Linked DNA regions of Lonchura striata. The protein of the gene in region 1 interacts with the protein of each later gene in a pairwise test. Links are inferred from orthologs where the notes say so. Each region holds a gene or a part of one and is shown in the gene's direction. Other genes may lie near its edges. The genes, in order: CDC42EP2, CASS4 and ARHGAP26.

Evidence for each region.
Region 2: the proteins of CDC42EP2 (region 1) and CASS4 interact in binary tests that used the Homo sapiens proteins (3 or more experiments, as listed by UniProt). The link is inferred for Lonchura striata from reciprocal best matches to the Homo sapiens genes CDC42EP2 and CASS4.
Region 3: the proteins of CDC42EP2 (region 1) and ARHGAP26 interact in binary tests that used the Homo sapiens proteins (3 or more experiments, as listed by UniProt). The two-hybrid records come from large-scale screens. The link is inferred for Lonchura striata from reciprocal best matches to the Homo sapiens genes CDC42EP2 and ARHGAP26.

Annotation. Positions count from the first base shown.
Region 1 is NC_134638.1:217,640-224,897, forward strand, and holds the start of CDC42EP2 (cdc42 effector protein 2), read left to right. Parts: upstream 1-4,215; 5' UTR 4,216-4,574; intron 4,575-7,237; exon of another isoform or gene 7,238-7,258. Other genes in the region: POLA2 (DNA polymerase alpha subunit B), read left to right, coding at 181-240, 353-479, 762-969, 1,893-1,951. UniProt on the Homo sapiens protein: Probably involved in the organization of the actin cytoskeleton. May act downstream of CDC42 to induce actin filament assembly leading to cell shape changes. Induces pseudopodia formation in fibroblasts in a CDC42-dependent manner.
Region 2 is NC_134619.1:2,550,752-2,558,701, forward strand, and holds the start of CASS4 (cas scaffolding protein family member 4), read left to right. Parts: upstream 1-4,882; 5' UTR 4,883-5,127; coding exon 5,128-5,133; intron 5,134-7,950. UniProt on the Homo sapiens protein: Docking protein that plays a role in tyrosine kinase-based signaling related to cell adhesion and cell spreading. Regulates PTK2/FAK1 activity, focal adhesion integrity, and cell spreading.
Region 3 is NC_134617.1:1,008,041-1,015,171, reverse strand, and holds the start of ARHGAP26 (rho GTPase-activating protein 26), read left to right. Parts: upstream 1-4,045; 5' UTR 4,046-4,177; coding exon 4,178-4,331; intron 4,332-7,131. UniProt on the Homo sapiens protein: GTPase-activating protein for RHOA and CDC42. Facilitates mitochondrial quality control by promoting Parkin-mediated recruitment of autophagosomes to damaged mitochondria.

The DNA of each region.
Region 1 (7,258 bases):
TCCCCATTTTTTCCCCTTTTTTCCCCTTTTTTCCCCTTTTCTCCTCTGCCTTTTCTCTCTTCCCTTCCCCCCCCAATCTCCTCTTTCCCCATTTTCCTTTCCCATTTTCCCCTTTTTCCCCATCCTTTTTTTCCTGTTTCCTCCCTTTTCTCACCCATTTCCCTCCCCTTTCTCCCACAGCTCCTCCGGCGTCTCCGACCGCTTCACGCGGATCCTGCGGCACATCCTGACCCAGCGCAGGTGAGGACCTCCCAAAAACCCTCTTTCCTCCCCAAAAACCCCCTCTGCCTTCCCAAAAACTCCTCTGTCCTCCCCAAAACCCCCTTTTTTCTCCCCGAAACCCCCCCTGCAGTTTCTACCCCCTGTACCCGCCCTCCGAGGAGCTCAACGTGGACTTCGAGGCGCTGGCGGCGTTCGCGGCGCTGCCGGTGACCCCCGACGTCCTGGTGACGCCGTCCGAGCTGCGCTTCTTCGTCAAGGTCAGGAATCTGTCCCTGTCCCTGTGCCTGTCCCTGTCCCTGTCCCCATCCCCTGTCTGTGTCCCCAATCTTGTCCCTTGTCCTGTCTCCTGTCCCTGTCCCCATCCCCGTCCCTGTTCCCTGTCCTGTTCCCCCATCCTTGTCCGTGTCCCAATCCTTGTCCCTTATCCCTGTCCCCATCCCTGTCCCATGTCCTTGTCCCTGTCCTCTGTCCCTGTCCTCTGTCCCTGTCCGTGTCCCCGTCCGTGTCCATGTCCCCATCCGTGTCCGTGTCCCCCGCAGGACGTCCTGGGCTGTGTCTGCATCAACCCCGGGCGCTTGACCAAGGGCCAGGCTGGGGGCACCTACGGGCGGCTGCTGCTGCGGAGAGAGCGGCCGGGGGACAGCGACGGGGACAGGGATGGGGACAGGGATGGGGACAACAACGGGGACAGAAATAGGGACAAAACCGGGGACAGAAATGGGGACAGAACTGGGGACAACGGGGACAGCGACGGGGACAGGGACGGGGACAGGGATGGGGACAAAACCGGGGACAGGGATGGGGACAGGGATGGGGACAACGGGGACAAAACCGGGGACAGCGACGGGGACAGAACATGGGACAGAACTGGGGACAACAATGGGGACAGGGACGGGGACAGGGATGGGGACAGAAACAGGGACAAAACCAGGGACAGAAATGGGGACAAAACTGGGGACAGCGACAGGGACAGAACACGGGACAGAACTGGGGACAAAACCGGGGACAGAACTGGGGACAGCGACGGGGACAGAAACATGGACGGGGATGGGGACAAAACCAGGGACAGAAATGGGGACAAAACCGGGGACAGGGATGGGGACAGAACCGGGGACAATCCTGCAGAGAATGCCGGGGACATTCCCAGGGACATTCCCAGGGACATTCCCAGGGACATTCCCAGGGACATTCCCAGGGACATTCCCAGGGACATTCCCAGGGACGCCCCCCGGAGCAGCCCCTGCGTGGCCGCCCAGGTCGTGAGGATTTGAGCTCCCAGCTCTGCCCGTTCCCACCCAGGGCTGCAGGGGCAGGAATTGGGGTTAAAACTCCTGGAATTCTGGTTAAAACTCTGGGAATTCTGGTTAAAACTCCTGGAATTCTGGTTAAAACTCTGGGAATTCTGGTTAAAACTCCTGGAATTACAATTAAAACTGCTGGAATTCCAGTTTAAAAGCCCCAGAACCGTTTGGCATGTGGAGGATTTCCCCAGGAGGATTCAGGATTCACCTCCAGTAAAACAGAATTTGGGAAGCGGAATCCGGGCGTGGGATCCTCCCTGTCCTGGCATCACCCTTTGCCTTCGGTGACCTCATTAGGGAACTTGGAGTTTAATTAGTCCAGAACCAATTAATTGTGGAATCCTGGCGCTGCTTCCTGCTGCTTCCCAGGAAAAAACAGCTGCGGGTCTGGCTTTGACCCTTTTCCCAAAATTTTTGCCCCAAATTGATGATGATGATGATGATGATGAAGGTGAAAATTAATTAAAGTTTCTGCCTGTCCCGGTGTCATTTCCTATGGGAAAAGATAAATCCAAGGGGTGGATTTTGGGGGAAAACCAGAGAAAATTGCGGCTGGGAAGGGAAACTCACAACTCTGCCGTGTGGCCGGAATTTTCCCAAAAATCTCCTTTTTCTCCCTAAATATCTGCATGGAGCAGTTGGGAAGTGCCAAGGTCACCTCCCGGTTCCTCCTCTGCTCTTTGCCCAATTCCAGCACTTCTCACCCCAAATCAAATACAGTTTTTCCAACATCCATAAAATCTTACTTTCCTCTCATTTCCAGCTTTATTTTCGGGTTTTTTTGCACCTGAGGGGAGGGGAGCAGAATCCCATTCCCTCCCAGGTTTCCCCTTGGGTTCTCCTCCCCCCGCCTCGGTTTCCCTTGGAAAAACTCCGATTTTGGTTAAAACAGCAGCAGGAAGAGCCAGAGCCGGGTCCTGGGGGGATTTGGGGAATTTCGACTCTTCCCCCCCACAGAGCCCCCACCGTACGATCCATCCCTAATTCGGGATTTAATTCGGGAATTCCGAGGGTTTTGGGAGGGAGCCGGTCCCGCTGGGGTTTTTCCAGATTTATTTTCGGGGCTCCTTCCCAGAGGAGAGGCCGAGGGAGCTCCGGGAATTCCCGGGAAGGGAATTGAGGCCGGGATGGGGGCCTGGGATCCGCTCGGGAGCGGCTGCGCCGGGACCGATCCCGAATCCTGATCCCAAATCCCAGCCCCGATCCCGAATCCTGATCCCAAATCCCGGCCCCGATCCCAAATCCTGATCCCAAATCCTGATCCCAAATCCCGGCCCCGATCCCAAATCCTGATCCCAAATCCTGATCCCAAATCCTGATCCCAAATCCGGCCCCGATCCTGAATCCTGATCCCAAATCCGGCCCCGATCCCAAATCCTGATCCCAAATCCCGGCCCCGATCCCGAATCCTGATCCCAAATCCCGGCCCCGATCCCAAATCCCGAATCCTGATCCCAAATCCCGATCCCGAATCCTGATCCCAAATCCCAGCCCCGATCCCAAATCCCAGCCCCGATCCCAAATCCTGATCCCAAATCCCAATCCCGAATCCTGATCCCAAATCCCGAATCCTGATCCCAAATCCCGATCCCGAATCCTGACCCCAAATCCCGAATCCTGACCCCAAATCCCGGCCCCGATCCCAATCCCGAGGTCCGCAGGTGACACCGCCGGGAATTCGGGAAAAGGGAAGGGAAGGGAAGGGAAGGGAAGGGAAGGGAAGGGAAGGGAAGGGAAGGGAAGGGAAGGGAAGGGAAGGGAAGGGAAGGGAAGGGAAGGGAAGGGGAGGGGAGGGAAGGGAGGGAAGGGGAGGGGAGGGGAGGGGAGGGAAGGGAAGGGAAGGGAGGGAAGGGAGGGGAGGGGAGGGGAGGGAAGGGAAGGGAGGGAAGGGAGGGGAGGGGAGGGGAGGGGAGCGCGGGCGCAGCCCCTCCTGCCCCCGGCCGCGTCCGCGGCGCTGTCGCGTCCCGGATTTAAAGGGAAAGCGGCGATTCCTTCCTTGGATCAGGAAAAAGGAGCGGATCCCTCCCCCACCTCCTCCCCGCTTCCCGGCTTAATTAAACCAGCGCTTAATTGGAGCTCCCCGGCTCCGCCTGCTCCCGGCTTAGAGCAGCGGAACGGCCGCGGAACAGCCCCTGGATCCCTGGAACAGCCCCTGGATCCATGGAATAGCTCCTGGATCCATGGAACAGCCCCTGGATCCATAGAATAGCCACTGGAACAGCCCCTGGATCCCTGGAACAGCTCCTGGATCCCCGGAACAGCCCCTGGATCCATGGAATAGCTCCCGGAACAGCTCCTGGATCCCTGGAACGGCCCCGGAACGGCCCCTGGATCCCCGGAACAGCCCCTGGATCCATGGAATAGCTCCTGGATCCCTGGAATAGCTCCCGGAACAGCTCCTGGATCCATGGAATAGCCACTGGAACAGCCCCTGGATCCCTGGAACAGCTCCTGGATCCCCGGAACAGCTCCTGGATCCCCGGAACAGCTCCTGGATCCCTGGAATAGCTCCTGGATCCATGGAATAGCTCCTGGATCCCCGGAACAGCTCCTGGATCCCTGCCCGGCGCTTTCCGGGCGTTTTTTCCTGCGAGCAGGAGAATCCCCGGATTTCCGAGCCCCCGGATTCCCGAACCCCCGGATTCCCAAACCCCCGGATTCCCGAGCCCCCGGATTCCCGAACCTCTGGATTTCCGAGCCCCGGATTCCCGAGGCGCCGCTCCGGAGTGTCCCGGGCAGGCTCCGATCCCTTTCCCAGCCGCGGCCGCTCCCAGCGCCACTTCCCGGGAATCCCGGCCCGGGAGGAGCCGCCCGACGCAGCCGCCGCTGCTTTCCCTGGATTTTGGTTTTTTCCCTGGATTTTTTGGCACCGCGGACACCGGGGTGTGGCCGAGGCCGAGACTTCTTCCTTCCTTCCTCATCGTCCGGCTTTTCCTGGGATTGTCCCGAGGGTTTTCCTGGGAAAAGGGAGGACCCGGCAGGTCCCGCAGTCCCCATGGAATTGTCAGCGCCGCGCTGCCCCCGCGCCGGACCCTCCGCTGGATCCCCGAGGTGGGGCGGGATCAGGGAATTCTTTCCCGGATTTAACCGATTTTAACCAATTCCAGCTTTTCCCGTGGCCAGCGCGGGGCCGGATCCCACGGACGGGTCCTGGCGCCGCTCCCAAAATCCCCGTTCCCCAAAAAACCCCAGGACCTTCATCCCAAAGGGCTCTTCTTCCTCTGGGCCGCTCGGGACCGCAGGGCAATGGGGCATTTCCATCCTTTTTCGGGAAAATCCAGCCCGCGGCACGACCCCGGGGCGAATCCGGAGGCGGGGATTTAAAATCGGGCACCAAAAAAAGGCTGGAACGGGTCAGGAGGGGAGGAATGGGAGGAACCCCAGGAGATCTTGGAGGCTGCTCCTCCCTCGGGCCATTCCCATGGGAAAAGGAATTTCATTCCATCCCCGAATCCCCGCTTGGGGAAAAATGTGGATGGGATTTCTCGTGGGGACACCGGAGTGGGGAAGAGCTGCTCAGACAGTGCCAAAATGCCTGAAAATTGGCTAAAACCCCCCAAATTTCTGTGTGGCAGGGCCCAAAATGCTGGAAATGGGCAGGAAGTGAGGAATTTTTCTGGAAAAACGGTGGGAAATGTAAAAATGTTGAGGTCCTGAAGCTCAAGGGGCTGAAAATGGGCAGAAAATTTCACATTGAGGTAGAAATTTCCAAAACCAGGTGGAAAAGGAACGGAATGTCCAGGTTGTGAGAGGTAAATTTGTGGCAAGAGGCAAAAAAAATCCCAAATGTTTCCTGAGCTGAAGCCTGAATTTCCAAGAACAGGTGGAAAGTGAAAAACCTGGATGGGCTGAAGCCCAAAGTGCTGAAAAAGGACCAAAATTTTCCTGTAATTTCAGAGAAAGAGCCCAAATTCCTCCCAATCCAAACCCTAAATCACCAAAAACGGGTGGAAAAGGAACAGGATATCCTCCATTGGAGCCGGAATTGATGGAAACAGGGGAAAATTCCTCAAATTTTCCTCCGTGGGAATCGAATCTGCTGATTCAGGCGATTCCAAGGGTCGGAGTCCTGGAAACACCTCCTGGAGCTCCTCCCACTCAGATCCTGGGGAAAACATCCCTTTTTTCCCCTGTTTTTTGCTCTTTTTCCCTGTTTTCCTCGTTCCTGACTCTTCCTTCTGGGGTGTCCTGGGTTCTCCTGGGATTTCAGGGGTGGAAACTCCCAGAAATTGGGGGTTTTTTTGGAGCTTTCTTCACGGTTTTCCTCCTTTTCCAGCCCATTTTTCACCTGTTCCGGATCTCCCTACAGGATTTGCCTGGGGGAGGAAAAAAAAAAAATAAAGTCCTACAGAATTCCAGAGGAGGGGATTTTGGGGCTGGAGTCGCCCGTTGCAGGGGTTTCCCTCTGGCAGCGCAAAGGGAACGGAGCTCCCGGAGCTCCCGGAACGTTCCGGGGCTTTGTCCCGGCGCAGCCGCGCGGGAGCGGCCCAGGGGAGGGACCGGGGCCTTGTTCGGGCTGCCGGAGATTTCCAGGAGGCAAAAATCCCGGAGCACCGGGACAGGCATCCCCGTCAGCCCCAGCCACACCTGGGGATCCACATTTCACAGCCTTCTTTCCCTCCAGATCCACCTTATTCCCTACAGATCCACTTCTTTCCCCCACAAACCCATTTTCCCTCCTAGAATTCCATTTTTTTTTCCCTACAGCCCAGTTCTTTTCCCTACAATTTCACTTTTTTTTCTCCACTTCAATCCTACTTTTTGCCCTACGTTCCCCTTTTTCCAATGGCCGCGGTGCTTCCCCGCGGCACCGGTGTGGATGTGATTCCAGAGGAAGATTCCCTGTCCCCGTCCCTGTCCCTGTCCCCAATCTTGTCCCTGTCCCTGTCCCCATCCCCATCCCTGTCCCTGTCCCATCCCTGTCCCATCCCTGTCCCATCCCTGTCCCTGTCCCCATCCCCATCCCTGTCCCATCCCTGTCCCTGTCCCCATCCCTGTCCCTTTGTCCCCATCCCCATCCCTGTCCCATCCCTGTCCCTTTGTCCCCATCCCCATCCCTGTCCCATCCCTGTCCCTGTCCCATCCCTGTCCCATCCCTGTCCCATCCCCATCCCTGTCCCATCCCTGTCCCTGTCCCTGTCCCTGTCCCTGTCCCTGTCCCTGTCCCATCCCTGTCCCTGTCCCCATCCCTGTCCCGTCCCTGTCCCATCCCTGTCCCTGTCCCTGTCCCTGTCCCTGTCCCATCCCTGTCCCTGTCCCCATCCCTGTCCCGTCCCTGTCCCATCCCTGTCCCTGTCCCATCCCTGTCCCTGTCCCATCCCTGTCCCGTCCCTATCCCATCCCAATCCCTGTCCCATCCCTGTCCCTGTCCCCATCCCTGTCCCATCCCTGTCCCCGCCCCTCCCGCCCGTCCCGCACTAATCCCGGGATTAGCGGCGCCGCTTCTGCACCGTCAGGATTCTCCTGCCCGGAGCCGCCGGACGGAGCCGGGGCCGGGCCCCGATCCCCGGGACCGCCCGGGACCCTCTCCCCTCCCGGACCCTCTCCCCTCCCGGACCCTCTCCCCTCCCGGACCCTCTCCCCTCCCGGACCCTCTCCCCTCCCGGACCCTCTCCCCTCCCTCCCCTCCCCTCCCCTCCCTCCCCTCCCTCCCCTCGCGGCCTCGGGAGCGGCGCCAGCGCCGGTCGGTAACGGGGTCTGGGCGGATGGGGGGAAAACGGGGCAGAATTCCATGA
Region 2 (7,950 bases), on another chromosome or scaffold:
TAAAGAAGGAATTGTATTTATTTTCTGTATAACAAAGGAGAAATGGTCAAATATTGGAGGCTGGGGCTTGGGGACTTTGGAATGATGCAGTTGATGTGTTCCACCTGAATCAGGTACAATTACATACTCAAAATGTAGAATGTGGGAGATTTTTATTTAAATAATGAAATTCATTTTTCTCTTGAAAAGCTCCCTTTATGCAAAACATTTCTGAGGCTTAATCCTCATTGCTCCTCCTCTGCCTCTGAGTTTGTGACCCTTCAGAAGCAGTGGTGCTGAGGGATACTGGTGCTGGTGGCCTTTTTGGTGGAGAAACCAGGAGGAGCAGAGCTGGGGGCAGGGAAAAGGGAAGTCCTGACACAGTCACTGAGGCGTGATGTGCGATGGGTGACAGCCGTGGCTTTTTTATTTTTGGAGTGCCACCTTTTTTTTTTTAATTCTGCTGAAGCACCTGTCTGTAATTCATGCACTCGTTGGTGTTTGGAATCTGCTTTTAAACCCTCTGTTTGTGGTTGATGTGTTAAAGCACCGCTGTGGTTGTGAACAGTGGGAGCTCTCACCTCAAGCTTCTGCAGTTCTGGGGGCTTGAACTCAGAGTGCAAGAGCAAAAAGTTCCTTTTTTAACACAAAACCATCCTGCCATTGGCACCCTGCTGCCTTTCCATGTTCTGGACATCCTGAGGCCACGAGGTTGGTGGACTTCTGTTGGAAAAAGAAGGGCTGAGAAAAACTGACCTCATCCTAGTGAGGGAGAAAATGCAAAACACAGTGTGCAAAGCCAGGTTGGATGGGCTTGGAACAACCTGCTCTGCTGGAAGGTGTCCCTGCCCATGGAGTGAGGTGCTCCTTAAGCCCCTTCCAAGCCAAACCATTCCCTGGCTCTGGAAACACTTTTCCCTGGAGGTGCTTTGAATTCCTGGCTCCTGCTGCTGCTGTGAGAGCCGGGACCGCCTGGAAAGCCGGGAGAGGCTGGCAGTGCCATCCTGCAGTGCTGGCACTGGGGCAGGGCTCTCTTATCGAGCCTCGGCAGCTCCTCGCTGTGCCCCAGCCCTGCTCTCACTGCTGCAAAAGAGGAAACAGGAGCACGGGCAGAGGGCTCCGCTTCCCACTGCTCAACTGCGACAACTTGGTGCAGGAAGACCAAGGAAAATCCCACTTGACGCTTCATTTTCTCACTGGAGTGGCCAAAAGGGCTTTTTTTGGGGGGGTTTATTCTGCCCTCCTTTTGTGTCCTGTTGTCTCAGATGGTATCTTACACCAGGATGTCTCCAGGTTGCAAGGGCTGCTAGGGGCAGAGCTGTCAGATGGACTTGGCTGAGGGGAGTTCCCCACGCGCGGCGCCTGGGCAGGGCTGAAGCGTCCCCATCCCACCGTGGCTCTGCTGCTCCAAGTGCAGGATGACAACAATGGATGCAAGCCCAAGGAGCAACACAGCTGCAAAGGTAGGGCTGAATTTGGGGTAGGGAAGGGTTCGGTGGTTGAATTCAGTGGGATTCTTGGTGATGTTGGAAGTAGCAGTGATGAGACCCATCCGGGTCTTGTCCTTCATGGCTGGAGTGTGTCCAGGGCAGGGGATGGAGCTGGGAAGGGGATGGAGAATCCCTGAGGGAGCTGGGAAGGGAATGGAGAATCCCTGAGGGAGCTGGGAAGGGAATGGAGAATTCCTGAGGGAGCTGGGAAGGGAATGGAGAATTCCTGAGGGAGCTGGGAAGGGAATGGAGAATCCCTGAGGGAGCCGGGAAGGGAATGGAGAATCCCTGAGGGAGCTGAGGAGGCTCAGCCTGGAGCAAAGGAGCTCAGGGGGACCTTGTGGCTCTGCACAGCTCCTGCCAGGAGGGGACAGCCGGGGGGATTTGGGATCATCCCAGGGAACAGGGACAGGAGCAGAGGGAATGGCTCAGGCTGGGCTAGGGGAGCTCAGGGTGGGACCAGCAGGAATTTCCCCATGGAAAGGGGGTCAGGAATTGGAGCTGCCCAGGGAGGTTTGGATCCCCATCCCTGGGGGTGCCCAAGGAGGTGCCACTCAGAGCTCTGGGCTGGGGACAAGGTGGGCATCAGGCACAGCTTGGACTTGGTGGTCTCAGAGGTCTCTGCCAACCTCAGTGCTCCTGTGGTTCTGGGAAGTTTGGGTTCCTCACCTCGGGGGGACAGAAGGCTCCTGTGCCTGATGTCCCCCTGTGCTTCTCATGATGACAACACCAGTGACTGGGAGGGATAGCAAGGATCCTGGATAAAGCAGAGTGAAAACAACAACAACAAAAAATACCTGGAAGTAAGCACGTTTGTGAAATTATAAATATAGAATTCAGGGTTCCACCTTACTGCTGTGCTGCAGTGACATTAGAGACACAGATCCTTTCTTTGCCAGAGACTTTCAGTGACAGCCCTGGTGCCCTCTTGCATGACATGATTTCTTTATGTTACATGCAAACCAGAAAACATTTTGAAACACTCTGTGTTCCTATTTTGAAAGACTGGACCCAGTGTATAAGGTTTGTTACATTTATTTCTGTATCCACATTCAATCGAGATTAATTTTCTATAGGTTAGAGGCCCTGCTGCAGCTGTGAGGGTTGGAGAATGCTGAAATCTTGATTCAAAGTCAATGCCTTGCTGTCCTGCTCTCTGCAAGCCTAATAAGTGTACTGGAATTAGGGTTTTCATCGTGGATTATGATCTCAGTGTTTACTGTACATAAACTGCCTCCTGGAAATTTCATAGAAAATGTAGTGGGAAGGAAAAGCTCAGTGAGTCATTTTTTTACACTCCAAATTTTCCATCAATGCTTGTAAAGATTAGGGGGCTACTTTTCACATTGAGTCATAGTAACTGAGGCAGGACATTTGTCATCTCTATACTGAAGAATTTCCTATTTCTACATATATTTCCAGTTCTCTTGAGCGGATTGTCAATAAATCAATGTAATGGTAGCAAACAGATTACCTGTTCTGCTGTGAGCATTTTAGACATGTCAGAGCCCACCCAATCCACTTCAGCTGAGTAATAAAACCCAAAATTATTTCTGCAACATCACTTATGAATTGTCCATAAGTCCCCTACCACCTTGGCAGTACAGTTTATGATGATACTTGAATGATATAAAAATACAAAGGGGTTTTTTTTCTGCTCTCTGAACTCCTCGAAGCACCAACCCTCAGCAGCATTGCTGTGGCAGGAAATGCTCTGCAATTATCCCTGTGCCCAACTATTGCACCTGCACGGGGAAAACCCCTCTGAAAACCATCTCAGGCTGAGCTCAGCCAGGTTGATGCTTGTTTATTGATGTTTTTGTTGATGTTTTTTGTTGATGTTTGTTTGTTGAAAACCATTTCAGGCTGAGCTCAGCCAGGTTGATGCTTGTTTATTGATGTTTTTGTTGATGTTTTTTGTTGATGTTTGTTGAAAACCATTTCAAGCTGAGCCCAGCCAAGTTGATGTTTGTTTGTTGTTGCGTATCCAGGGGTGCCACAGGAAGCCTTGCAGCCCTTGCTGCAATTTCAAACCCCTCCACGACAGCTTCGGCTGAGCTGAAACACAGATGAAAAATTAAACTCACAATTCTAATTCTAAAGATTTGCAGGGAATAGGTATGTTTATTTACAGTGCTGTGGACGCATGTCGGGGCTCTTTGCCCTTTAATGGACATGGGTACCTCTGAGAACTCTTGATCTTTTTTTATTACCCTTACTAATTTCTATATGCATAGAATTTCATAATAGGTTAATGCATATTTATTTTGCTGATATTAGGAAAAAATCCTTCCTTGTGAGGGTGGGCAGCCCTGGCACAGGTGCCCAGAGCAGCTGGGGCTGTTCTGGATCCCTGGCAGTGCCCAGGGCCAGGCTGGAACACCCTGGGACAGTGGGAGGTGTCCCTGCCATGGCAGGGATTCCCTCGGGGCTCATTCATGGGAACATTTAATTGTATTTGAAAGTAGTTCTGTGGCCACAAGCTGTGGGTTTGTAGCTGAGGTTACTCCAAATGCTGGAGCACCTGAAAAACTCCGGGGTAGCAAATGAATGGCTCCTGATCACCTGCATGAAGTGTCTGAAGGGGTCAAACTACTGCTCCTGATACTTAAAAAATAAAAAAGGAAGGAGAGAAAAACCACAAAGGCATTGAAATGGGCTCCTCTGTGCCAGAAATTCTTTCTCCTCTGGACAGCAGCTGGTTTGCTCCCAGCCCAGAGGTGTAGATTTTGTTGATGAAGCTTTTCAATTCAGCATTTTCTATTCAAGAGATTAAAGTATTTTCTAACTACAGGATTGTGGCTTTGGGAGCCAGAGTCTAATTTAATCTTGAAGCTACTGTGGAAAGAGGAAGGAAGAGGCTTTTACCAGAGAAAAACCAGCGTGTACAAAGGCAAAACCAGTAAAAATTTGCCAACAAAAAGATATCCTGAGTCCAAAGTGGCAAAACCTGTGCATCAGCATGACCTGGACTCAGCTGTTGCCAAGCAAATAACAGCCGTTAATAACTTAAAATAACATTATACCTTAATAATATTCAAGGATTTTTTAAATAATCCAAGAAACAAAACCCTTCAGCTGCAGTTCACGTTTAACTTTCCTCCTTGCGTTTTCTGCCTCTGCAGGGTGAGGTTGTTTTGCAGGGGATTTAAAACCACAAAGGGGATCTGTTCAGTTTTCCAGAGACAGATTAAAAATGTAGCAAACCTCACACCACTTTGAAGTTGAAAAGAAATTTTTAAAAACAACAACAACCAAAACAAACAAACAAATCCTCACACACAACAAACCAGGAGTAAAAAATGCTGCTGCAAAAATGCTTCCAAATCCAATCCCTTTCATGGTGCAGCCCTGCTGCCCTGGGTTTTCTGTTCAGAGCAGGGCAGGCATTCCCTGCAGGGGACTCTGTGTGTGCTGCACATCACCAGCTGCAGCCCCGTGGCTCCCTGGAGAGAATTCTGCCACGTAATGAGCTCCCCCCGTTCCCAGAGCTGCTTTCCTGGGGCTCCCAGCGAGCAGGAGGTGGCAGGGGCTGAGCTTTCCCTCTGCAGGCTTCCAGCCAGAGCCTCCAGAGCTGCCTGAGCCACTGACAGGGCTGGGGACATCCTCCTCCTCCTCCTCCTCCCCAGGTGATGGACTAACAGGGAAACACAGCAAAATGAAGGTCAGTGTAAGTCCTGGGTTCTTTTCTTTTTGATTTAATGACTTTCCTGATTTCATTTGTAGTAGGTAGAGGGTAAAAAATCTGCATCTGGCAGGGTCTCTTTGCAATGTGTGTGTGTTCAGCTGATTTGCACATCACTAAGAGAGCACGCGGTCTTAATTTAAAAAATATAATCCAAATTAACCCTTTCTCAAGAACAGCAGTGTGGCTGAGGAGGGTGAGGGTTCGTTCTGTGTGCATTGAGTAACAACAAGTTTATTAAAAATGATCATGAGTGACTCAGACTGGTCACTTCCACATTCTCTTGGAAAAAAAAACGAGGTTAAGAGTTGAGCGGTGTATTACCTCAAAAGAGATGATGCTTTTGCATTGATTCCTAGAAAATGGGTCATGGAAATGTCTGGAGAAGTGAGGTCAGTGTGGGGTGAGGAAAATGCCGAGCGATTTCAGTCTGAGCCTGGGAAAGCCTTTGCACTGGAGGGCACGGACTGGCCACATCCTGCAGAGCTGCCTGCATCACAAGGGCTCAGAGGAGGACAGCAGTGCTCATTTTTAGGAAACGCTCTTTTCTCCTGGATTGGGGGGGATTGAGTGATGGATCAAACCCATTTTGCAGCCGTTTGTCCCCATTTCTGCGCCAGCCCCGGGCTGGGCTTTGTGCTGAGCAGGGTTTGGGCTGTGCCAAGGGACAGATCAGGGCAGGGCTGTGCTGTCACCGCGTGTCCTGGGCTGATGGCAGGCACGGAGCAGAGCCCAGCTGCTGCCTGGGCACTCGCAGCAGGGATGAGCCCAGCTGGAAACCCACAGAAACACCACGACTGCAGTGCTGCTCACTCAGAAACCATCCATCCCTCGTTTATTCAATGCGTTTCGTTCATTTGCTCCCAAGCACCGCCTGTGCGGAGGGCAGCGTGAGGACAAGGTTTTGGGGGATGAGCAGGGCAGCCACAGAGCCCCAGCAAGCTGCAGCTGGGGGAGTCGTGCTGCTGCTGATTCTTGGTGGATCAGAAACCCCCAGCCTGGCCTCAGCCTCGCCACTGCTGCCACGGAATTCCTGAAAATTTCCATTTTTCAATGAAAAATGTGCCATTTGCTCCCCCAGAGCTTCCCTGGGGATGTTTTCCCTCATTCACAGAGGGTGAGGATCCTGCTCTGAGGAGTGCCCAGCTTGTACTCACCAGGACTTCCTCGAGCTGTAAAGCCACATTTAGAAATAAATGTAGTCAGGTGTAATTAAACCACAAAAAGTTTTTAAAAAGTAAAAAAAAAACCCTAAAGTGATTGGGTGCATGTGGGAAAAAGAAAGGTTTGAGGACCCAAAGCCCAGGAATGCTCCCACAGGGAGTGTTGGGAGCAGCAGGAAGTGGCAGTTGATTTTCCCTTGAACTTGGGCATGAGAGCACTCCCCTAAAAATGCTCCGAGTGGGGTGAAATCCTGGCTGCACTTCCCCTTCTGGTGATTTTAACAGAGCTAAGATTTGACTGGCTTCATCTGTGGAGAAAAGAGAGTTTGGGGAAAATTAACAGAACTCCAGTTTGTAATTCCCACCTCTGCAGCACTGCCCGGTGTGAAGCTGCAGGATTTGTAAGCCTGATTTTTTTTTAAGTGTATTTTTTCCCTGTATTTCCTCAGATTTAGAATTCAAAACCTGCTGATCAGCACCTGCTTCCATCCCCACAAAATCAATTAAAGCAATAAAAGCATGTCCTGATGTTCATTCCTCCTTGAAGCTCACACAAAACTTCTGTATGAGCTGAACATTTCTTTTCCAAAATAGGCAAACAGCACAAAAAAAATGCAGAAGGTCCTTCTGCAGGTCACAGGAAATGCTGCACACGCAGGTGGAGAATGATCTGAGCTTTTAAGGTAAATTCTCTTTTCCTGTGGATGTTGGTGTGAACTCTCCACAATTAGCTGAGCAAAATGTAAGTGACTCGCCTGGTCTGGGGTTTAAAGGGGAATTCTCAGGGAAGCCTGTTCCCAGCTAATGGATGATGGAGAATGTTTATTTCTGCAGCTTTGTTGGGAGATTAACTGGGAGCTGCTCTGTAAACATGTCAGAGGTGTCTCTGATGTATGAGCAGAAATGTTTAGCAAACACAACCCTGTATCTCTTCCCCCTCAAATATTTTAAGTCCCACTTTCCTGCAGTAAAAGAGCTCACTCATATATCGATGTGCAACGTGAGAATTATTTCTCTCAATCCACAAAAACTCCCAGGATTAAATGCTCTCTTTACTTACATGATCTCAATAGGGGTTTTTAAGAAGCAAATTGAAGATAATAAATGCAAAATTACTTTTTTATCTGAAATGCTGTGAAATAGTGCAGTGCTCATGAAATAATACAGGGCAGCAAATTGAGATTTTTCAAATACAAACTGAGTGGGGCAGGGACATTATTTTGTGAGGCTTGTGGGCAAGATGCTCAAATTATCACGAGCTGTACACCACTGTGTGCACTTGGATTTTTCTAGCAATGTTTGTATCTATTTTATAATGATATTTTTTTTCTGTTGCATTATCCTAGATACTGAAGATAAGACTTGAGACAGGAGAGGCATCAGGAGATTTTTAGTAACAGTGGGATGTTTCTTCCTTAGCATAAATATCTATTGTGTGCACAGAGCACAGATGTCACTCTGAGGGTATAAAATTTTACGTTATAGAACTGGGCATTGATCAGCTTTACTGCCCCTAATTACAATTACTCCATTAATAAACATGAGGTAGCAGCTTTCATTCCTATGACTCCCAAGGGCTGCCAAGGCTTTGTAGAGGGACCAAGGCTGGATTAGGATCTGCAAACAACAAAGA
Region 3 (7,131 bases), on another chromosome or scaffold:
ACGTGGGTTCTGCCTGGTTTTTGCAGGTGGGTGTCACAGTGAGCCCATGGGCACTCTATTTCCCCTTCCCCATTCCCTGTGACTCTGATCAGATCACCCTGGACCCTCCTTCCTGCCCCAACGGGAGAGCCAGGGAAGCCCACCCTGCCCAAAGTCTGTACAGACCCCCGACAATTCCTGTTCGTTCTCTTTTGCCCCGCTCTCCCCTTGGACACCACAGAATAAAGAGAGCTGAACTGACATATATTGGGGTAAGAGCCTCTTTTGGAGATCTTTGCCATCTCCTGATATTCCTCCCCTCCCAGCCTCAGACCTCTGTGCCAGCTGATATTCAGGGGTCGGTGCGAGGGGGGAAGGCCGGGTGGGAGCGCTGCTGGAGCGGGGCAGCAGCCGGGGGACCCCCGGACAGCCAGGGCTGCGGGGCTCAGCTCGGAGCCAGCCCCTCCGCGGGCTCCATCGCCCCGAGCGGCCCAGGCGGAGCCGGGAGCTGCACGGGGCCGGGGCTGCCTCCTCCCCTCCCGCTCCTGCTGTCGCCGCAGCTTTGCCGCTGCCGAGCCCGGCCGCAGGAAGCCTGCCCGGGGCAGAAGGGGCTCCCTGCGCCGCGGTGCCGGTGGCTGTGTCACACGCAGCGACAGCGGCGGCGAGGATGCGCTGCCGGGTGGAGGCGGGAGGATGCTGCGCTCAGATGAGGGAGCTGATCCAGCGGAGAGCTCACTCTGGAAAGAATTGCTGTTTTTCAAACAAACCGGTTGAATCCAGCTGGTTGCGTGACCCACCCAGAGATAACGCTGGGGAGAGCAGCTGGGGCTGGGCTGGTGCAGGCACAGAACCCCACCCTGGTTTGGGCTGGAAAGGGCCTCAAAGATCTCCCAGGTCTCGGTGGGACACCTTCCACTGTCCCAGGTTGCTCCAAGTCCCAGGAGCTCCAAGACCCTGTGCCAGGGCCTCAGCACCCTCGCAGGGAAGGATTTCCTCCCAGTATCCCATCTAAGCCTGCCCTCTGGCCGGCTCTCCCTTCCTTCCACAGCCCCCACCCCTGCACCAGCAGTTAATTGATCCAGGGTCACACAATCTAGGTAGAAACGGCTCTTTTAAAAATGTATTTTAATGCTGGAGTAGTTTTCTGCAGATGTTCCCTGAGTGAGTGAGCTGTGGGATGTGGGCTGGTGGGTGAGGGAGAATGTGCTAATGTGTGGTCAAGGCCGGCTCGGGTGGGAGTGAGGGATTAGGGCAGCCACAGCTTTCCTCTGTGGGGAGGATGAGTGAGCACAGCCCTGCAGAGGCTGGCAGGAGGGTGGCTGTGGCCAGTGGGACGAGCTCTCAGTGGCCAGGCTTGTGTCCAGTGCTGCTGGATCCCCACACGGTGTCCAGCTGACCTGGCTCACTTGGGGGTGAGACAACCCAGCTGCTTGAAACAATAAATCAAAGCAGGCAAATATGGCAGGGATTACAGAGGGATGCAAACTGTTGTCATCCACAGGCAGGATGATGTGGAAGTCTGGGCCGTTTGTTTGCTTATTTTTCCTTTCAGTGATAAACGTTCTCAGGAATGTGGTGGGATTCTTGTGGTGTCCTGTGCAGGGCCATGAGCTGGGCTTGATGATCGCTGTTGGTCCCTTCCAACTCAGGGTATTCTGTGATATTCTTTTGCAGCTTGGATGCACAATCACAGGGAAATGGGGCTGGGAGAGGTCCATGGCTGTTCCTCACCAGTCCTGCTGCTCTGCTCTGCTCTGCTCTCCCAATTGGAGCTCAAACATGAGTGTCTCCTGATGAATGCAGCCAGGAGAAGGGGAGAAGATTCCTCACTGCCTGCCTGAGGCCTCAGTTCCTGTGGTGCTTCATGTGTAGCAGAGCTTTGTAAGGCCTTGATTCTGTCCTCATCAGAAAATGACAGTCTAGGCATCATCATTTTCTGTGATTCTGGAAAAGAGCTGAAAAAAAAATCAATTTCAAGCCCCAGATATTTGCATCCTCTAAGGCAGTGTCCTATAAATCTAGTTACAGGCTCTTCTCTATTAACAGTAAGTGCTGGAACGCTTTTAAATATGAACAATGGTGATGGAGAAGGATAAAACCAAAATAGTGCTCCTGTGGCTTTGTGCAGCGTAGAATTAGGGAGCATAATCCAAATAATAACATCTCATGCTTTTATGGGGCTGTGTGCATATGGCGTAAATGACAGCTCATTAAACTTTATATCCTGCCTACAAGATAAGCATGCAATTAGTATTACATCCTTTTTTATAATTAGGAGGCCTCATCCAAAAAAATGTGGCTCACAGACCATATTTGAAGGCGGTGACTCAGCCTGAATTAGGCTGCGGTGTGAGGATGGAGAGAATCGTGCTTTAGAGGGCTGAAAAAACAGAGACAAAAGGTCGAGCTGGTGTCAGGCTCCTGTGCCCACACCCACGCTCTGCAGAACGCCGGTGGGTGAAGTTTCGGAGGCCGGGCGGGGCTGGAGCCCGCGCTGCAGGCGGAGCTGGGTGCAGGACCGCGCTCCATCCTCCCGCGGCCGGCCGGAGCGCTGGCCCGGGCCCCGGCGGCGCTCACGGCTGAGCTGACAGGAATGTTCGCTGTGCCTTCCCCGGCGGGCCGGCTGGGCGGGCAAACCGGGCAACCGCGGCCCCTCGGGGATCTCCGCCAGCGTGGCCGGTGCTCAAGCCCGGGGCACGGCGGCCACCGCCGGCCCGTCCCTGCGGCCGCCGCGGGGCTCGGGGCGCTTCGCTGCCGGCCGGGCCGGGGCTTCTGCCGTGAAACAACAGCAGGATGCGAACAGAAATAAGCACAGGGAAAAGTGCCAGACGTGGGAGCCGTGCTGCTGTGCTTGTGCCGGGTTTATTGTGTGGGTATGCCCGGCCGGCGGGGCAGGCGCTGCTGGTGTGTCCCGGCGTCCCGGCGGCAGGCGCACCGGTGTGTCCCGGTGTCCCGGCATCAGCCGCACCGGTGCAGCCCGGTGTCCCGGCATCAGGCGCACCGGTGTGTCCCGGTGTCCCGGCATCAGCCGCACCGGTGTGTCCCGGTGTCCCGGCATCAGCCGCACCGGTGTGTCCCGGCATCAGGTGCTGCCGGTGTGTCCCGGTGTCCCGGCATCAGCCGCACCGGTGTGTCCCGGCATCAGGTGCTGCCGGTGTGTCCCGGTGTCCCGCGGAGGAGCGGCTGCTCGGTGCGGCTGCGCTTTGCTCCGGGAGCTCCCGGCCGGGGGAAGGAGGTGACGAGGAAAGGAAGGAGCAGGAATTTGGCTGCTGCGCCCGGGCCAAACCCCCGGCGTGCTCCCGAAGGAAGCGGGCTGTGGGGAGAAGCACCGGGGCTGTGTGCGCGGCGACAGCCATCGTCTGGGGGGACAACTGGTGACGGCCATCATATGTGGAGGGAAGTGTGACAGCCATCGTCCCTGGGATGATGCTTTTGGGGACACGGCGCTGGGCCAGCGCCCCACCGCCCTTCCCTGCTAGGGAATGGAATCAGGAGATTACGGGTTCATTCTCTCAGACCACACCACTAAGCCCGGGCAGTAATCTCCAGCACAGATGTGCGATGGTGGGAGCAGAAACGTGCGAGCCGCCACCCGGCCGGGCCGGAGCGGTGCTCCCGCAGGCCGGGCGCGGATTTCCCCGCAGCGGGGGCGGGCCGGACAGCAGCGGGGCAGGAGCGGGGCAGGGCCGGGCCGGGGCAGGACCGGGGCAGGGCCGGAGCGGGGCAGGGCCGGGGCAGGGCCGGAGCGGGGCAGGGCCGACCCCGCCCCGGGCGGAGGCGGCTCCGCAGCGGCGGCGCCGGCCCAGGTGCGGGAGCGGCGGGCAGGGCACGGCTCCGCCCCGCCCCCGCAGCTGATTGGCCGAGCGGGAAAAGTGGGCGGGGAAAAGCGGTGCCGGAGCGCGCCTATTGGCTGGTGGCGGGGGGGCGTGGCGAGGGCGGGCCCGGCCCGGGCGGGGCCCCAGCGCGGCCGCAGCGGCTCCGCCCCCGCGCGGCTCCGCTCCCGCCGCTCCGCCCGGCCGCGCTCCGGCCGCGCTCCGGCCCCGCTCCCGGCTCGGCTCGGCCCGGCCCGGCCCGGCCCGGCCCGGCACCGCGCTCCCGCCGCCCGCCCGCACCCCCAGCTGCGCGCCTCGCCCTAAAAGCCCTTCCGTTTTGCGTTTCCTCCGGATTTTTGCGTGCTTTCCCCGCCGTGCCGGGCAGCATGGGGCTGCCGGCGCTGGAGTTCAGCGAGTGCTGCCTGGACAGCCCGCAGTTCCGGGAGCGGCTGCGCTCGCACGAGGCCGAGCTGGACAAGACCAACAAGTTCATCAAGGAGCTCATCAAGGACGGGAAGTCGCTCGTCGCCGCCCTCAAGAGTAAGTGCGGGGCTGGGGGCGGCCCTGCGGGACCCCGCGCCCCCCGCCCGCCGAGCCGCGCCCGCCCCGCCACGGGGGCTGCTCCATCCGGGCCCCCCGGTGTGCCGTGCTGTGGCCGGGCCGCGGGGCCGTGCCGGTTCCGGCTCCGGCGGGATGTGCTCCGGGATGTGCCTGGCCGTGCTCCGCGGGGACACGCGCGGTCCCGCTTCTGGACCCCCGGCACACGCGCGGGCCTTGTCCTGCTCCATCCCGGCACGTGTGGCCCGTCAGGGTGGGTCCATCGGGGCGTGCGGGGTTCCGGTCCTGCTCCGTCGGGATGTGCGTGGCCGTGGTCCACTGGGATGTGGGTGGTTCTGGTCCTCGCCCGCCAGGTCCCGGTCCGTGAGCCTCGGGGGTCGCATCCTTTGGCAGCGGTTTTCTGGGGTGGTGGGTTGGTGCCTGCCCACCCCGCTCCCCGCTCCGGTTGTCCTCTGTCCCGGCTCCGCTCGGGGTGGGCGATGCCCGGAGCCCCCCGTGCCTCTGCCCGGGCTGACCCCTCCAGTTTCTTCCTCTCCGTCTCCATGGGGAAGCGGGGGTGGCTGCAAAGCTGCAAGCCAGTGAGGTTTGGGTGGGAGGGGGATGCAGCCATGCAGGCTGTGGCTCCGGGCATGGGGAGACCCTCACCTGTGGCTGGCAGCGTCCCGGTGTTCCGTGATGCCCGGGCTGGGCTGGCTCCTGTCCCCACAGCTGGGCTGGAGACACCTCTGCATGGCTACCTGCTGCCAGTATCTTGGGGAGCTGTGCTGGGTGAGCTGCGCCCCAAGCTTTGGAGATGTTGTTTCTGCTGTTCCCTCACGGGGTCATTGGGGTTTTCTTGTGTTTAAGTTTCTTTGGCCCACACCACAGGGCATTTCCCCATCCAGGGGAGTGCCTGTACCCAGCATGCTGGCAGCACACATGGTCACCAGTCTGTGCCATGGGCTGACAGGGGCACATCACAAACAGGTGCCATGGAGCCCCTGCAGCATCACCTGCTGTGAACCAGCCTGGCCAGGGTCACTGTGGGGGCTGGGGGACAGCGAGGTCTCCCCAGGGTGCACGGCAGGTGATGCTCCATCCATTCCCACCACCCTGTCCATTCCCAGAAGGGCTGATTCCTGCTCCCTCCCCTTCTCACACCGAGCCCCATGGGTGTAGTTCCTCTGTGCTGAAGTAGCAGCTGGTAACATCTGGGTTACAGGGACTCCCATTGTACCAGTTCTTGGCATTTGGGGTCAAAAGAATCTCAAACCCGACAGCTGTGGGTGCATTTATGGCTCTGCAGGTCTGAGCTGTGTCCTGCTGTGGAGCAATTGCTGAAGGCAGCAGTGCCAGGCCCTGCCTGTAGCATTCATTTTACCCCAGAACAAATCCTACAGCGCTGCTCTTCACGGAAAATACATTTTGGGAGTGAGCTGGTGAGTCCTCAGGTGTGTGTGGGCTTGGTCAGTTAGCTTGTGGCAGGTGCTGGCTGAGGTGAGCAGCCAGCCCTGGGCAGGCTGTGTGAGGTGTTTTGGGGTGTGCTGTGAGCCCCTGTGGGCTCAGGGCTGCTGTGCCCCGGCCGTGCCGCACGCCCAGCGCTGGGCAGGAAGAACGCTCGCTGGCCTCTGCAGATAAGGATGTTTTTATGGCTGAATTGTTTTGGAGCTCCTATTGAATGTGTTCCTGGATTAGCCCTTAATTCCTGCACAGGGCTGGGGGGAGTTCAGTGGTGCAGGGACGGGAATAACGCTGATTCTGCTGCAGGGTAAATCGGTGCCCAGGCGCCAGCCCTGCCTGCCCTGCCGCCACCTCCCCGGCACGTGTGGCACCGGGGTGGCCCCAGGGCTCTCTGGGGCAGGGTTTGGGCCATGTGGGGCAGGGCACTGCCCGGCAGGCTGGGCAGGGGTGTCCCCTCCCTGGCTGGGATGCTTGGCCCTCTGTGCATCCTTCTCCTGCTGTACGAGTGACCTCAGGGGCTGTGGGGCTGCTTCAGGCTGTGCTTCCTCTGACTGATCCGGTGCTGGGTGGGATCTGGGCTGGCTCGTCCCACCTGTGTCACCCTCAGTGTGTGACAGGTCTGATGTGCTGTATGAGTCCCTGCAGACCATTCCAGTGTCCAGCAGCAGGGATGGAAATGCTCCAGGGGTGGGGAGCTGCTGTGCTGCCTGTTGCTGGTTGTGTCACAGGGGCTGGGATGTCACCCCCGTGAGCCAGTGCACCTCTGGGGGACATTCCTGACTCACCAGAAGCTTGCTTTTCTTAGCCAGCTTTTATTTTTCAGTGGTGTTTCCATGTGGTTTTGGTTTGTCTCCATGGCTGGGCATGGTGGCCTTATCTCACTGCCATTGTCTCCGTGCTGCTCCTCAGCTGTTGTGACTGTGGAGCTGGGCAGGCCTGGGGGCAGCAGACCCCTGCCCCAGCACATGAGGGGTTCTGGGGGTGCCCTTGGGCAGCGTGACTGCCTGCAGCCAGAGTTCTGTGAAGTCTTGGCAATATCCTCCCTCGTTTTCCTTCCTCTTGCCTTTTCTGCTGAACATTTCACATCCTCTTTGCACGAGGGCAGGCGTGGGGAGAACGTGTAGCTCTGTGCAATTGCTGAGGGGCCGTGGGGCTGGGGAGGAGGGGAGGAAGATGAAGAGGGAGGAAGAGGAAAAGCCCTCTGCAGAGCTGGGCAGGAGCAGCAGCACGGGCACGCAGGGATGGTGAGACTGGAGTAAGGACATGGAACAAAGTCTCTGCCAGGCTTTGCTGAAAAGGCTGCTCTGCCCTGCTTTTGTCCTCAGTGTAGGTACAGAGAGAA